Xenopus tropicalis: one gene and its partner. The protein of the gene in region 1 purifies or fractionates together with the protein of each later gene. This does not show direct contact. Links are inferred from orthologs where the notes say so. Each region holds a gene or a part of one and is shown on either strand. Other genes may lie near its edges.

Region 1 (3,728 bases):
TAGCCTGCTGGAGTTCTTGTTTGGTAATGGGAGAGTCTAGAATACTTCTTTGGGTTGCTGTTAATGTGGGTATGGGAATGTTGCTAATGTGTTGCTGTAGTTCTGCCTCATTGTAGGTGGCTCTAGTAGTATACAATGTTTTAAAGTATGTCGCAAAGACTTCTGCTATTTCTTGGGTTGTAGAGTGGTGGGTGCCATCTGAGTCTATTATCAAAGCGATTGCGGTTGAGGGAGCTTGTAATTTGGCTAGATAGGCTAGTGTCCTGCCACTCCTGTCCCCAGTTTCGAATATGTGTTGGTGTGTATATAGTTGAGCTTTACGTATGAGGAGAGTTTGTTCCCTAGCTAGGGTATGGTGGGAGTTTACCAATTTGCTGTAATTGGTTGGATTTGGATTGGCCGCGTATGCCGACTCTGCCTCTTCCTGGTCTTTTTCAGCTTCTACCACTTGAGCTTTGGATTCTGTTCTGGCTTTCTTAATGGCACAAATGAGTTGCCCTCTAATATATGCCTTTGATGCTTCCCATACAATCTGTGGAGAGGCTGATCCTTCATTTGTCTCCCAGTATTCAGTTACCGCTGCGGTTGCACTTTCTAGCACAGTGTTGTTCTTGAGCCAAATTGGACTGAGTCTCCAGAGATTAGTTTGAGGGGTACCTATTATGTTTAGGGAGAGGGGAGAGTGATCGGACAGGGCTCGAGGGAGGTATTGTATCTTTGTTATCCTAGGTAGGAGTTCAGATGTTACTAGAGCTAGATCGATTCTTGTGAGAGAGTGATGGGTAGTGGAGTGGCAGGAGTAAACTTTCTGGTCAGGATTTTTCCATCTCCACGCATCTGAGTCCTAGTGCTTTTGTCCACAACATTAGTTTGTTCCCAGTGGGAAAGGGAGGATTTAATTTATCTATTTGCGGGTTCATTAAGGCATTAAAGTCACCCATATAGCAGGTGGGAGCTGTAGGGAGGTCAGCTAATTTTTTACTGATAGTATCTAGTGTGGTTATGGTAAATGGAGGTGGCATATATAGGTTAACTATAATTAGAGGAAAATTAGCTATAGTGCAATGTTCAATGATGAACCTTCCATAATAGTCCGTTTTGAGTGTTATCAGGTTAAACGGGATTGACCTCTTCACTAGGATTGAGACCCCTCTGGAATATTTAGGAGAAGTGGTCTTGGGGGGCCCCCTGGGGGATGTGGTTTGGTGGGGACCCTATGGGCTCTCTCAACCACAAATGCGCTAGAAAAGGTTTCGTTACCAAGAGTTTGTTTAAGCCAGCTTTCTATGAAGGTCTCGGGGTGCTGTCCTTTCTGGTAGGCCCACAATTCGGACATTATTTCGGCGGAGTCTATTTTCCAGGTCGTCTGTTTTATCTAGCGCCTGCTGGAGCAGTTGTTTGATAAATGTAATATCATTTGGGAGCGGTGTCACCATGTCCTCTAGTGTGGAAATTCTAGCCTCAGCTTCAGTAGTGCGCTCTCTAATGTTTTGGAGGTCGTGGCGCAGGAGAGAAATATCTATCTTTATTTTCCTCCAGTTGTGTTGTAGCGGCTGTTCGGCTTTCTAGTATAGCCGTCAGGAGTTCGCTTGACGAGGGTTGTGGAGTCTCCGCTGCTATTTCTGGCAAAGGGGGTGATGATGGGGTTGAGTCGCCAGTTGTGGTGGGCTGGGAGTCCTGCGGTTCTGTGTGTGCAAATCGCTCCAGCCTCGCCGCTGCATCTGGTTTTTGTTTCCCCATTTTCCGCCTTAATGATTCAGATGCTGGTTTCCCACAAGGTGTGTTGCTGTTGGTTGTGGGTTGGATATTAGGATATACAGTTGGAGAGCGCTCTTTGGATGGTAGTATTACATATTATCCCTCAATTCTCCATTCTGAGGGGTAGGTCTAGATTCTGGTCAATTACAAAATGCCAAGTAGTTGTATAGGTTGCATGTAGCTGCCCATGTGATTGCTTAAGATCTCCAGCACTCAGTATTGGTTCTGCTAATATAAGCAGTGTGCAGTGGTTGATGGCAGGGTGCAGCAGTCTGCAGCTGTGTGTGGAGCTGTATATGGGCTTGGAGCCGGTATGTGACGCCCCTGGGGTCTCAGGCACACTCACCCAGGCTTATATGGCAGTCTCACAGGTTGGGCGCCGATTCCGGATCGTTTGGCGCTGATCCGGCTCTCCCAGAAGTCGCGAGTGGGTGCGGCTAAAATTTAGCCTGCGGCTTCAGCTGGGCTACTAGGCCGCGGCCGGTTCTCCTCCGCGATCACACCCAGCGGGCGAGCCTCCCTGCACGGTGCTGCTCGTGTCTAGGGGCTGGTAAGGGGGGTTTTTTATTTTTGACCCCGGGAGCGCCAATTTCCGTGTCTGCTCCTGTGCGCAGCCCGATGTGTAACATATTTGATATATAAATAACTGATAATGCCAGCTTCTAACTGATCATGGCTTGTTAAGCATTGGTTTCTATTGGCTGAATAAATAAATAATGGGGTTTAACTCTTCCCTATGGAGAAACCCTATCAGCAGGCTGCTATTCAGTCATATAGATGGGTACGGCTTATTAACCTATGGTCCCGCAGGAGTGCAGCGAGGAAGACTACAGTAGCGAGGAAGCTGAGAATGAGGAAGAGGATGAAGAGGACAGTGAGGATGCAGAGGAGGAGGAGGATGAAGAAATGATGCTTCCTGGCATGGCAGGCAAAGAGGAGGTAAGTGAAGCTAAGTCCCTATTCTCTGCCTGTACCTTGTGTTCTCCTGCAGCCAACACCATAAGGCATAGGCCCTCGACCTGTTCTACCCCTGTAATTCCTTGTGCACTCGGAGAGCCTCCTCAGCTGCCCCCCTCTGGGGTTTTTCAGTTCAGTTTGCTTGCTGATAGGAACAGCCCCTACTGCTGTTTCATCATACTTATCCTAAAGCGAGCAATTGGTGGCCAGCTCCCCCGGCACCTCCTTAATGGCGGCCAGCTCCCCCGGCACCTCCTTAATGGCGGCCAGCTCCCCCGGCACCTCCTTAATGGCGGCCAGCTCCCCCGGCACCTCCTTAATGGCGGCCAGCTCCCCCGGCACCTCCTTAATGGCGGCCAGCTCCCCCGGCATCTAAATGAGTGCTGGGAGTTATTGGTTATTAGACCTGTCTGAAGGCGAGTAGGGCTGGATGATTCTTGCATGGATGAGCATTAGAAGTCTTTGGAGCATTTGGTTCTGTTTGAGGTGGCAGAATGGATGGGCCAAAAATAACCTTCCTGTGGCTTCCTCCTCCTCTCAGCCGGGCTCTGACAGCGGCACCACTGCGGTGGTGGCACTAATCCGAGGGAAGCAGCTGATTGTCGCCAATGCTGGGGACTCGCGATGTGTGGTCTCTGAGGGAGGGAAAGCGCTGGACATGTCCTATGACCACAAACCTGAGGATGAGCTGGAACTGGCGCGGATCAAGAACGCGGGGGGAAAGGTCACAATGGACGGCAGGGTGAACGGCGGCCTGAACCTTTCCCGTGCAATTGGTGAGTAGGGTGACTGGCCATACATGTATGGATATAGTGGCCAGGTTATCATATATTTGTCCGGTGGGCTGATCCAAGGGCCAAACAATTGGGTCACGGTGAAGCTATGCAGCCTGTCCGGACCAGGACCACCGCATCGATGTGCTGCAGACACAGTCCTTGAGCCAACAGAAAAATCAAACCCACCGATTTTTGGACAGATATTGGTCGGGCAGGCCCCATGGCACCATACATGAG
Region 2 (5,072 bases), on another chromosome or scaffold:
ACGGGAAGATTAGTCGCCCCGCGACAAATCTCCATTCTCACGGGCAACTAATCTCCCCATAATGCCATCCCACCGGTTAGAATGTAAATTGCTGGTGGGATGGCATACGTGGCGCCGCAATGTCGCCCGAAGTTTCCTCTCAAGGCGCGTCTAATCTACCTGTGTGTTACTGCCCTTAAGATCAGCAATGTCCAAACGTATTTTGAAGAAACATGACGGTAACGCACATTTTACTTTTCAGATTATTGACAGGCCATCTTTTCAGATAAGGATCTAGAGAGGAGACTGTTAAGGCAAGAGGCTTTTTGGATCTATAACTTGAATTCCCTGGAGTTCCAGGGTGGGATGAATAGGGAATGGGAGTTATCCTGTTTCTATTGAGAATTGTATAAATGGGGTTAACTTTTTGATTCTCCCTCCATTATATTTGGGTCCTCCTAACTATAAGTATTTCTATTTTGCTATCCTTATTTGTACTTCTTTTATGTATATTGTGTGGTGTGTAAGGGTTCATGTAGTCTATATCAGGGGGCTCAAACTCAATTTACCTGGGGGCCGCAGGAGGCAAAGTCAGGATGAGGCTGGGCCGCATAAGGGATTTCACAAAAAATTGGCTTTCAAGGGATAATGCAAGGCACGGCGGGAGCTGCTGATTGCGGAAATGACGTTATGCCATAACAGTTATTATGGGAAGATGTTCTGTGTGCACAATTAGCTCCTTAGCAGCTGTGCACACAGAATGTCTTCCCATAATAACTGTTATGATGGCATAATGTCATTTCCGCAATCAGCAGCTCCCGCCCGCCGTGCCTTGCATTATCCCTTGAATCGCAATAAAAATCGCGATCCATTCGTTGCTTTTGAGAAGGCGTTGGTGCGGGCCACAAAATACTGTACTGAGGGCCGCGAGTTTGAGACCCCTGGTCTATATAGTCCAACTAGTCTTTTGACTAGTTGGATTATATAAGCCCCTCCCACTTACGGGCTGATAATGCTTCTGAGGCCATGAAACGCGTTAAGCGTAGCTCCATGGCTGTACATATAGGTTTTTACATATAGGATTGAATAAAAATGACTGTTTTTTAATCCAGCTCTTTTTTTTGGTGCATTTTTTCTATTTCCTGCCACTAAACATCTGTCGTGGTTTGTACAAAGCCATCCAATGACTTGGGCTCAGTAAAGCTGCGCTGCTAGCACTACAGCCTGCCGAGCGGCGGCCACATGACTAAGCAGATTGGAAGCGCTAAACTTCTCTTTCAGCTGTTGAAAGACTACAACACCCAGAATGCCTTTGGGGAGCTCTAACCACAGCAGCAGTCGCCTTTTCCATTTCTACAATAAAATAAAAAGTATCGTACTTTTCAACTACCCTTCAGCTCGCCATAGTGTAATAATGACTCAGTACGGAAAGGGAACACTCTCACCCCACAGTGTGAGGACTTGGCTAATGGGCCCGCCCTTTCATTGGCTCTACCTAATAGGACGCACCCCCTCTCCCCCACAACCCTTAGCGGCACTCCTTAGGCGCAGCAAGTCCCCTCACAACAACCAATAGGTTTCCGGGACGTACAACTAGATCCGGCAGATATCCGTGCGCAGCAGAGCCACACCTCCTCAGCCCCATTCTTCCCTCTGACACAAGCGCGCTCGAATCCCTCCGCGCCACGCTTGCTCACTCCGGCAGCCCGCCTGAGCTCTGTGACCCGGCACCGCCCGCATGGAGCTCGTCACCATCCTCGAAAAGACCGTGTCTCCGGGTACGGGCGGCTGGTTATTGGGGGTATTATTGTGTGGGATAACAGTGAGGGGAGGGGGGCAGCAGGGAAATGCATGGGGATCCCCAATAGAGCGGCAGGGCCCTGAACCCATGTCTACCCTTCTTTTCCCTCAGACCGCAATGAGTTGGAGGCGGCGCAGAAGTTCCTGGAGCAAGCTGCAGTCGAGAATCTGGTGAGAAATGATAGAAGTTGGGCTTGAGAAGGAAGCCGGGTAGGGAGGCACCATGACAGCCACACGGAGCCTTAGGTTGGCCGTGCCGGCTCTCCCACTACATTAAACGCATGCAGGAAACAGCGACACTTATAAAAAGAGTCCCACTATCAAAGTAGCCACCAAGCTGGCAGGGGGCATGCTGGGAGTTTATTTGGACTTATTAGGCCTGGGGGGTAATCGTTCTCTGATAACCCCCGCAGCACATAGGAAGCCGGGAATTGCTGGGACTGCCACTGCCAGTAGGTCGCCAGCTGTTCTGAAATGGCTAGCGCTGTGGTGCCCGGCCAGGCCTCAGTGAAAAGCGCCAAGACTGGCGCAGCCTAACTTGCCCGCCACCCTGCGCTAGCCAATGGGGAGGCGCGGAGCCATTTAGCCGGGTCTAATTCGGCCAATGAGAAAGCGAGAAGAGGGAGCGGCGAGGGGGGCGGTGGTAAAGCACGTTGCGTTGCACAGCTATGTGGGGCTAATGGGGCTCCTTGTGGCATCGCATGATGTCGCATTTGGGCTGCTCTGTGCGTGTTGTGTGATTTTCCTGTGCTGACAAATTGCATTTTTTTGCAGTCCTTGGAGAATGTACAGAACTCAGTGTAGGTGCAGTGTGACATGCCACATTCCTGTCATTGTGAGCTTCCTTGTATTGCAATAAATGTCGTTAAACCCTGCAAACTAAATGCTTGCTTCCTGTTTCAAGGTATTCTCTAAGTACCAAATGTTTTGTATTGCTTTGCCATGAAGCTGACATGTTACTGTTTTCTTCAAAACTGACCTGCGCTTAAAGGAACAGTAACACCAAAAAAATGTATATATTTTCAAGAAATTAAACTATACTGTATTGCTGCCCTGGTAAAAATTGTATGTTTGCTTCAGAAACATTACTAGAGTTTATATAAACCCTGGTGTGTAGCCATGGGGGCAGCCATTCAAAAGAAGAAAAGGCACAGGTTATATAGCAGCTAACAGATAAACTCTGTAGAATACAATGGTGTCTTATCTGTTATTTGCTATGTAACCTGTGACTTTTTTCCAGCTTGAATGGCTGCCCCCAGGGCTACTCAGCAGTGTATTTATATAAAATATAGTAGTGTTCCTGAAGCAAACACCCGAGTTTTACTAGTGCAGGGCAACAGTACGTTATATTTCAATTACTTTAAAACACTTTCATTTTTTGGTGTTACTGTTCCTTTAAGTTTTTGAAATGTTAGGAAAGGATCTCGGGAAACAAGTGGTGCCAATGGCTGCCATCTTTACTTGGCAAAGACCAGGCTGGGGGTGGGGGGCAGGGTTTAATACAGGGGTGCACAAAAGGTAGATCACGGTCTACCGGTAGACCTCAAGGTGGAATGCAGTGGGATGACATCCCGCCACTTCCCCCCCCCCCCCCCCCAGCATACTGAAGCTTTCAAGTGCGACTGCTCAAGCCGTCTTTGTAGTTTCATCCCAGTATAGAAGATTGTCCCCACTGGGCCACTGTATATATTTGTTCCCACTTCATATATGTTTCTGTGTGCAGACTACAAAGTGGGCCATAAGGAAGGGAAGTAAAAACTACTACAATCCTTTCACATTAAACTTGAAGTTGGCACGTGAATAATGTTATGTGGGCATTAAATGTGAATTTGGCACTGCATTTATATATTGCTATGTGTATTTGTTAAACATCCATTGATATTTCTGTTGCTTATTGTGCCAAATGATAGACGTTGCACTATTTTAACTGTGGTAGAGCTCATGACTGAGGCCAGGTGGGAAGAGTAGATCACAGAGTGACAAAATCTGGGCACCACTGGTTTAATAGAACCATCATGTACCTTTCCTCATGCCAGAATTCATCTCTTACCTCCATGTCACTTTGTTTTTATAATAACAATCACTTAAAGTGGCCTTGCATAGGCTAAAAAAAAAAGCTACTGACTTTTAGATCAGTTTATCCACTTAGGGCAGTGGCACACGTGGAGATTAATTGGCCAGTGTCAAATCTCCCGGCAATGCCATCCCACTGGCTAGAATGTAAATCGCCGGTGGGATGGCATATGCGTCGCTGCAGTGTCCCAAAGTTTCCTTTCAAGACAATTTCGGCCGATTTCGGGACATTGCAGAAATGCGTATTCCATCCTGCCGGCGATTTACATTCTAGCTGGTGGGATGGCATTGCGGGGGATTAGTCGCCCATAACAATGAAGATTTGTCGCGGGGCGACTAATCTCACTGTGTCCCGCTGCCCTTCTTGGTCTGTATATGGTGTCCTCAAGAGACCTACCCAAATAAAGTTTTCCCTGAAAATTGTCCAGCATGTTGATGTCTCCTTAGGTCACACAGAATGATCCAATTTCTGGTCCCTTGTTGGATCAGCCAGTTAAATGTCTGACCTGCCCAATTGGCTACGAAAAATTAGAAGTGTTGTGTATGTTAAGTGAAAAGGTAGAGATTGGACAAAAGGTAGCGCTTATATAAGTCAGTCAGATAACTGCAAAACAAGTCTGTGCTGTATGGGCAGGATTCTATTTGAATAGCAAGATACTTTGCCTCATTTGACTGATTGTGCTAATGAGTGAATCTGCAGCGGTGTCCGCTCTATTCCAACAATCATCAGATTTTCTTCTGACAGAACAACTGGCCAGTACTTTAGGGGCTGCAAATAGGATGTTATTGGTCCTGTTTGAGTCTGTGTAGCTTAACTGACAGGGCATTATTTTTGATCTTAGTCTAGTCCTGCTGGCAAGGCTCCCTAAACACTGTTTGGGCAGTAATGTTGAAATTTTGATAAACCAGTGTGCCTGACCACAGTTTAAGAAGATGAGCACAGAGTGACACTTTTGTTGGTCAGTCAGAAGTTATTAGAGATGGTGGCTACTGTACTCTTGCAGTTTAGCACTTCTGTTAGTACATTAGTCCCAGAGACAGATTGCCTTCAAATAAAGGATCTGTAATCATAGTAACTTTAGATGAGGTTGGGAGGGGGGGGGGATGTGTCCATTACATTTAACCTTTATGAAAACCTGCCTAATTGCTAATTAATTAGAAGGCAAAGAAAACTATAGTGGATGTTTAATAAAGTTTTGAGATGTTTCGTTGCAATTCCA

What was found. Proteins that work in one complex are often made in the same cells at the same time.
Region 2: the proteins of ppm1g (region 1) and kpnb1 purify together in Homo sapiens (affinity purification with mass spectrometry; 3 studies listed by BioGRID and IntAct, with this or other methods). This does not show direct contact. The link is inferred for Xenopus tropicalis from reciprocal best matches to the Homo sapiens genes PPM1G and KPNB1.

Annotation. Positions count from the first base shown.
Region 1 is NC_030681.2:162,046,978-162,050,705, reverse strand, and holds part of ppm1g (protein phosphatase 1G), read left to right. Parts: intron 1-2,568; coding exon 2,569-2,697; intron 2,698-3,256; coding exon 3,257-3,491; intron 3,492-3,728.
Region 2 is NC_030686.2:10,834,006-10,839,077, reverse strand, and holds the start of kpnb1 (importin subunit beta-1), read left to right. Parts: upstream 1-1,527; 5' UTR 1,528-1,717; coding exon 1,718-1,757; intron 1,758-1,891; coding exon 1,892-1,950; intron 1,951-5,072.